Arabidopsis thaliana: one gene and its partner. The protein of the gene in region 1 purifies or fractionates together with the protein of each later gene. This does not show direct contact. Each region holds a gene or a part of one and is shown in the gene's direction. Other genes may lie near its edges.

Evidence for each region. Proteins that work in one complex are often made in the same cells at the same time.
Region 2: the proteins of BBX21 (region 1) and BBX32 purify together in Arabidopsis thaliana (affinity purification with western blotting, with the first as the bait; one study listed by BioGRID). This does not show direct contact.

What each region holds. Positions count from the first base shown.
Region 1 is NC_003070.9:28,364,097-28,368,273, forward strand, and holds BBX21 (salt tolerance homolog2), read left to right. Parts: upstream 1-1,727; 5' UTR 1,728-1,962; coding exon 1,963-2,154; intron 2,155-2,249; coding exon 2,250-2,675; intron 2,676-2,924; coding exon 2,925-3,302; 3' UTR 3,303-3,642; downstream 3,643-4,177. UniProt on the Arabidopsis thaliana protein: Transcription activator that acts as a positive regulator of seedling photomorphogenesis. Acts downstream of COP1 and play an important role in early and long-term adjustment of the shade avoidance syndrome (SAS) responses in natural environments.
Region 2 is NC_003074.8:7,411,931-7,415,520, reverse strand, and holds BBX32 (B-box 32), read left to right. Parts: upstream 1-1,793; 5' UTR 1,794-2,130; coding exon 2,131-2,808; 3' UTR 2,809-3,076; downstream 3,077-3,590. Other genes in the region: MNS2 (alpha-mannosidase 2), read left to right, coding at 1-42, 237-345, 438-539, 675-755, 835-1,005, 1,141-1,392; AT3G21140 (Pyridoxamine 5'-phosphate oxidase family protein), read left to right, coding at 3,435-3,590.

The sequences.
Region 1 (4,177 bases):
ATTATTGTTTTGAAAAATAAAAATCTACATTAACTTGACTGATATAACATTTAGTAACATTAGAACTGCGGGAGATATATGATTACAAAGATCATTTTCAATCTGAGTATTTTCAATCATTTTCATACCATAGAAACATTTATAAATTCTTGATTAACCACTGCAACAATGCAACATTGGATCGAGCTTCCACGACTAAAAGGGTATTTCTATGGACTATGGGGACTCCTATTATAGATATTTAGGGGGCATATACATGGATTCTTAAAAGAGAATTACAACTTTCAAATCATTATCATATTCCAATATGGGTTCAAAGTTTCTTTAAGCATACGCCTTTAGTTAATTGGAGAATCTTTTATTCTTTAATATATATAATGCTTTTTCAGGGATATAATGTAGTAATTTACAAGATACAGTTCTACTAGATTTCACTCCTGAAAAAGTAAACTTTATAATCTTTGGTTGTTACTTGATAGTGGTTCTAGATTTTGAAACTTATCCTTATTCCTTAATATTTTATATATCTATACGAACCAATTAATATCTTTTTACTTTTAAGAAACCATGTAAGGTTTTATCATACTAAAAAGAAAAATCTAGTTTTGTCTCCATTTGCTAGCTAGGTTTTCCCCTGTTTTAAGACTAGAAAATATACGTAGCTAACAAATCTGTATAAAAACCAAAAAAAAGTATTAAGAATCAAGCCGAACTAAATGACATTTGATTTTCATTCCATTTATATATATTTGAACTGATAAAATTATAACTGAAATTAATAAGCATTATTGGGCATCTAATTATTTATTTATTTTGACTGAACAATCTTTCAGAATTCAAGATAGAAATAAAAGCAAAATAAAAATAAAATGACTAGAGAAATGTAATTCTAATTTGTCATAAAAGGAAACCACTGAGACATTATCTGTTTAATTATTGATGTAGAAGGAAAGACTCCCACTAGTCCCACTTGGTTCGATACCCGCGCTTCAGCCTTCACACCATCCACGTCCAGTGCAAAATTCTTCGGGCTTCCACTATATAATCTTCTAAACAAAGATAACACAATAAAATATAACAAGATGATATATTCAAATATAATCTTATCCGATCCTCTATTTTGGAGTTGGCGTGCGTGACTGCATGCCATGAAGTATAATATAGATGGAAATTTGAATAAACATGAGATCAATCGGCTAAAAGCAAGGTTGTGTTATATCGATCATCTTAATTCTGATGTAAATGTTTTGACATAAGCGTACGTATAGGTATGATACTAGTAAAAATACAAGTTTAAACCTGTCTGATTGTTCACATTTCTTAAGTTAAATTAGTCAATCGAAAAGTGAAGTTTTAAAGAGTTAATGTTGTTTACATTCGATGGTATATAAGTGAGTTTTCCATCATTTTTAGTTTCATTATGAAAACATTGTCTACTTCAATTTTTTGTTTCCAAGTTAGGAGAATTAAACAGAAAATTTTTCATTGCTACTATTTAAGTTCTATTTATTTTGTTTTTTTGAATGCTATCAAACAATCGAATGGAATGCCAATAAATTTATTTGAATATATCATTCTTATTTTTTTTTGCTGGAAAATATAATTAGTTTACATTGAGGAACTACCGAACTATCATGGGCATAATTACTTCTCATCAGTCAAGCTCTCATTATATCGCTGTGTTTTATTAATCCAACAAAGTAATAATTAATTATTTTTTTTACTTCATGGACATCTCATATAAAACAAGAAATAATTTTCTAGGAATAAAAAAGAAAAGAAAAAGAGAGATATAATTAAACAAAAAAAAAAAGATATGATTTGAGAAACAAGAAAGAAGGAAAAAAGAGGAGCTGATATTACATAAGTACCCTCTTACATTACTACTCCATAAGAAGATCTCACATCTTCTCTCCTATCATTTTCAACTACCACCATCTCTATCTCTCTCTTAATCGATCGATGAAGATCAGGTGCGACGTCTGCGATAAAGAAGAAGCGTCGGTGTTTTGCACGGCCGACGAAGCATCTCTCTGCGGCGGCTGCGACCACCAAGTCCACCACGCTAACAAACTCGCCTCTAAACATCTCCGTTTCTCTCTCCTTTATCCTTCTTCTTCCAACACCTCCTCTCCTCTCTGCGACATCTGTCAGGTCTCTTTCTAACTTCGGACATGAGTTTTGTTGTCTTAATTCAATCGTTTTTGCCGATCAAGAATCTGAAACTTTTTCTTTTTATTGAACTCTAGGATAAAAAAGCTCTGTTGTTCTGTCAACAAGATAGAGCTATTTTATGCAAAGATTGCGATTCATCGATCCACGCTGCGAACGAACACACAAAGAAACACGATAGGTTTCTTCTTACAGGGGTTAAGCTCTCTGCAACATCGTCTGTTTACAAACCTACTTCGAAATCTTCTTCTTCTTCTTCAAGCAACCAAGATTTCTCTGTCCCTGGATCATCAATCTCTAATCCTCCTCCTCTCAAGAAACCTCTCTCAGCTCCTCCTCAGAGCAACAAGATCCAACCCTTTTCGAAGATCAACGGCGGTGATGCGTCGGTGAATCAGTGGGGATCCACAAGCACGATTTCTGAGTATTTGATGGATACGTTACCTGGTTGGCACGTTGAGGATTTCCTCGATTCCTCTCTTCCTACTTATGGTTTCTCTAAGGTTTGTTCTTATCTCTTTAATCAAGAAAGATCCAAGTTTAGTTGATTTCAAGATTTGACAATGACCCTTAGTAGATTGAATTTTTTTTTCCTCTGTTTACGTAATATCATATCATTTTAGATCTAATGAGGTATTAATGTATTATAAAGGTAACAAACTTTATAGATGTGGATAGATCTTTTTACTATATTGGGTATTTGTGTAAAATTTCTGAAAAAGAGTTGTTGGTTATCTTTTGTGTGATTGCAGAGTGGTGATGATGATGGAGTGTTACCATATATGGAACCAGAAGATGACAACAACACTAAGAGAAACAACAACAACAACAACAACAACAACAACAATACAGTGTCACTTCCATCTAAGAATTTAGGGATTTGGGTCCCTCAGATTCCACAAACTCTTCCTTCTTCATACCCAAATCAATACTTTTCTCAAGACAACAACATACAGTTTGGGATGTACAACAAAGAAACATCACCAGAAGTAGTGTCTTTTGCTCCAATACAAAACATGAAACAACAAGGACAGAACAACAAGAGATGGTATGATGATGGTGGCTTCACTGTCCCACAGATCACTCCTCCTCCTCTTTCTTCTAATAAAAAGTTTAGATCTTTCTGGTAATTTTACTATCTCCCTAAATGGGGGAGTTTTTTTTTTGTTTGTTTGTTTCTCCTTCATTTCTCCCAACTTTGATCTCAATAGAATTAGGCTCTCTCTTTTTTTGTGTTCTGTCATTTTGTAAATTTGAGTGTGATTGCGGTTTTGCTGTTTTAATCTTTGTAATAATCATATAATCTCTTTCCATTAATGCACATGTTTCATGTACAAAATCCTATGACTCGTTGTTTAATTTGTAAACTTTCTTTTTGTCGTGGAAACAAGATTTCAGAGAAAAATTAGTTTATTTTCAATTATCATCTACATTATTTTTGTTTTCTCAAGGAAAAGAAAGTCAAACTTTAAAGTAAAGTTACAAATTCGATGAATGAAATCTAGTGGTGCGTATATTTTAGTATATGAGGACAGTCTTTTCTTTTTCATCTTCTGCCTCTTCAGTCCCCATAGCCCATATGGGGAAAGGATTGTTCTTGGATTTGGTTTGTATATAAATAATATATCTTAGGAAATAAACGATAAGAAAAAGAGCATATAATGGAGACAAATTCACAATAACGTGCCCATCACCATCGCCCATCGGCATATTTTTTGTTTTCTGATTGAATATGCCTGCATAGATCTCTGATGACTAAGGAGTATGGACACCTCATCATGGCAGGCAAAACATATTTAAATTAATTAAAGTACCGACTAGTCGTTTACTTGTTAAAGTTACCAAACTAAAATGGTACAAAAACAAGTAAGAAAATAAGAGTTATATTTATATATCTTTTTTTTTTTTTTTGGGTTATATTTATATATCTTTCGTTGTGTTTAGCAGGCCCAACTAATTGAGGCCTATTTTTGATTTCAAAATATCAACCATTTGCTTTTCATAT
Region 2 (3,590 bases), on another chromosome or scaffold:
TTGGGTGTTTGGGAACAAAACTTCAGCAGTGAAACACTATAGGTAAGTTTAACTCTAGTCTACTGAGTGTATATATGTCTGATTGATTCAAGTCCGCTAAGTTCAACCAGCTGCCATCACATTTATCTTTCTGCTTGATATCTATGTTCTTCTTTTCTTTTCTGGTCTTTTAGTTTCAACATCTTTAGCCGAACAATAATAATTTGTACTGTTATTACTTGACATCTTGGCATCAGAGATATGTGGGAGAAGTCAATGAATGGTCTGCTAAGCTTGGTTAAGAAATCAACACCTTTGTCGTTTACATATATCTGTGAGAAGAGTGGAAATTCTTTGATCGATAAGGTAAACCCATCTGTTCATTGTTTCCATTGTATTACGTGAAAATTCTTCATCGCCTGGCATTTCCAATCTCATTATTTCTCATATATATTAAGATGGATGAATTGGCATGCTTTGCTCCTGGAATGTTGGCTTTAGGAGCATCTGGGTATAGTGATCCTGCTGAAGGAAAGAAGTTTCTCACACTCGCTGAAGAGGTAAACTTATGACTTGAATGATCTTTGATCATAGCGTCGTAAGTGCTTCAGATCTTTCGAATTTTTCGCTCTCTGCTTTTCTGATTTAGGCTGCTGAGATATAGCCTTTATTGCTATTTTCCACATATTTTGCAGCTTGCGTGGACATGTTATAACTTTTACCAATCAACTCCAACAAAACTGGCTGGGGAGAATTATTTCTTCAACTCTGGGAGTGTATGTCATTTGCCTGTCTTTTTCAAACACATTGTTTATTTTATGCGTTATTTATTGTTTAGTATACATGATGATTCAGGACATGAGTGTTGGAACGTCGTGGAACATCTTGAGACCAGAAACTGTCGAATCACTGTTTTACCTCTGGCGGTTAACTGGAAACAAGACATATCAAGAGTGGGGATGGAATATATTTGAAGCATTTGAGAAGAACTCGCGCATAGAGTCTGGATATGTTGGTTTGAAGGATGTAAGTTTTCCGTAGGCGCTTAATTAGATCCTGCATTGTTAAAACCTTGGTGAATTGAATTATATCATTCCACCATCTATATTAGTAATTGAGTGTAACTGATGGTAGATTCTTATTTCTTTCAATCATTTCCAGGTTAATACAGGCGTTAAGGACAACAAGATGCAAAGTTTCTTCCTTGCAGAGACACTCAAGTATCTCTATCTACTCTTCTCGCCGACAACAGTCATTCCTTTAGACGAGTGGGTATTCAACACCGAAGCTCATCCACTTAAGATTAAGTCTCGAAACGATCAGGTAAATCTCAAACAATCCAACAAAGTACTGCTACGAAAACCGGCATTTAGAATACGCCAGAGGCATTATGGTCGGATAACAAAGAAGTAAAACTCCCTGGAGAGGTCACAGTGTGATTCGTAGGAGGGGCTCTATGGATATATCTTAACAGAGCAATTGGATTTAGCTTGGCTATTCAAAGACCCTTTTATTTAAGAAACCATTTTTGGAAAGATTTCAAGATATAGACTATTGTTGTACTAGTTGGGATCAGAACCCAAACAGGTTCACCACAGTTTACACCTTGTGTTTTGTATCCTTACTCCTTAGATTATAAATTAAGAGTATTATCTTCTGTTTTGTATTCGACAAAAGATCAATGTATAAAAGTTTATATAAAAGACTGCAACAATGCAGAAGAAATGTAATGGAAGCAACCAAGAAAAGAAGAAGAAGCAATTTGCAATGAGACCAAGTCTCTGAAAAGACATTAGTGTTGACTAAATCTCCACGTCACACCAAAAGGAAGACGAATGACTTGGCGGCTAGTGTAATAGTTTTAAAAATGACCACATAATCTCACCAGCCTCAAAACCTCACGACACGTCATTCTCTCCAATTCTACAAACACCATTCATTTCATTTCCCTAAAAAATTATGGCTCATGTAAGTTTCTTTGATGTGTGAACTGTGGAAGAGACTACTCTCATCAACCATGAACCATAAAAACTCCACCGCTCTTTCTCTCCCTCAATCATTTACATCTCTTCCTTAAATCTCTCTTCCCACCATCATCATTCCAAACCAATTCTCTCTCACTTCTTTCTGGTGATCAGAGAGATCGACTCAATGGTGAGCTTTTGCGAGCTTTGTGGTGCCGAAGCTGATCTCCATTGTGCCGCGGACTCTGCCTTCCTCTGCCGTTCTTGTGACGCTAAGTTCCATGCCTCAAATTTTCTCTTCGCTCGTCATTTCCGGCGTGTCATCTGCCCAAATTGCAAATCTCTTACTCAAAATTTCGTTTCTGGTCCTCTTCTTCCTTGGCCTCCACGAACAACATGTTGTTCAGAATCGTCGTCTTCTTCTTGCTGCTCGTCTCTTGACTGTGTCTCAAGCTCCGAGCTATCGTCAACGACGCGTGACGTAAACAGAGCGCGAGGGAGGGAAAACAGAGTGAATGCCAAGGCCGTTGCGGTTACGGTGGCGGATGGCATTTTTGTAAATTGGTGTGGTAAGTTAGGACTAAACAGGGATTTAACAAACGCTGTCGTTTCATATGCGTCTTTGGCTTTGGCTGTGGAGACGAGGCCAAGAGCGACGAAGAGAGTGTTCTTAGCGGCGGCGTTTTGGTTCGGCGTTAAGAACACGACGACGTGGCAGAATTTAAAGAAAGTAGAAGATGTGACTGGAGTTTCAGCTGGGATGATTCGAGCGGTTGAAAGCAAATTGGCGCGTGCAATGACGCAGCAGCTTAGACGGTGGCGCGTGGATTCGGAGGAAGGATGGGCTGAAAACGACAACGTTTGAGAAATATTATTGACATGGGTCCCGCATTATGCAAATTAGGACATTTAGTGTTTAGTGCCTTAATTATAGTTTGTGTCATTGATCTGTTTGATCTTTCTTTTCAACGTAAACTAAAAATGGTCTGAACCAATTGAGATGATAGATATTTCTTTAGAGGAGATTTAATTTTTTTAATCAACAGTAAGAAGATTTTAGAAACGGAATAATGGTAATCCAATAGTCATTATCAGGTTCTTTTGAGATGAAATTGAAATCTTTTCTTTCCCAATTTTTTTAAACAAAGATAATTTCTTAGAATATTATGTTATTATCAATAAAAATTGTAAATTGAAAAGAAACTGATTTTCTTATTTCAAGGAAAATTCGTTATTATCAACATCAAAACAAAACAAAAGAGAATAGAAAATACATCAAAAGTAATTCCTAAGGACAAAAGTAATCGTAATCCAACTATAAAAAAAAAGCCAAAAGAAAAAGAAAAACCCTTATATGTATGTGTGTGTTATACAAACCCTACTCTGGAAAAGTCCTAATTCCTAAAGCTACTTTCAACAAAGACGCCTGAAGCATCTGCCTATAGTGAAAGATCAGAAGACTCTTCAACCAAAATCTTATTCTCATCCACCATGGAAGCTCTCTTCACTTCAACACACACACCCAATTTACAGACTAAGCCTCTCCTCAAATCTCCGCTGCCCACTTCTTCCCAGTCTTCGTGTTGGTTTTGTAATTCGCTACCCAAAACGCAATTCCCGAAGCTGAGACTCAGTAATGGATCAAGT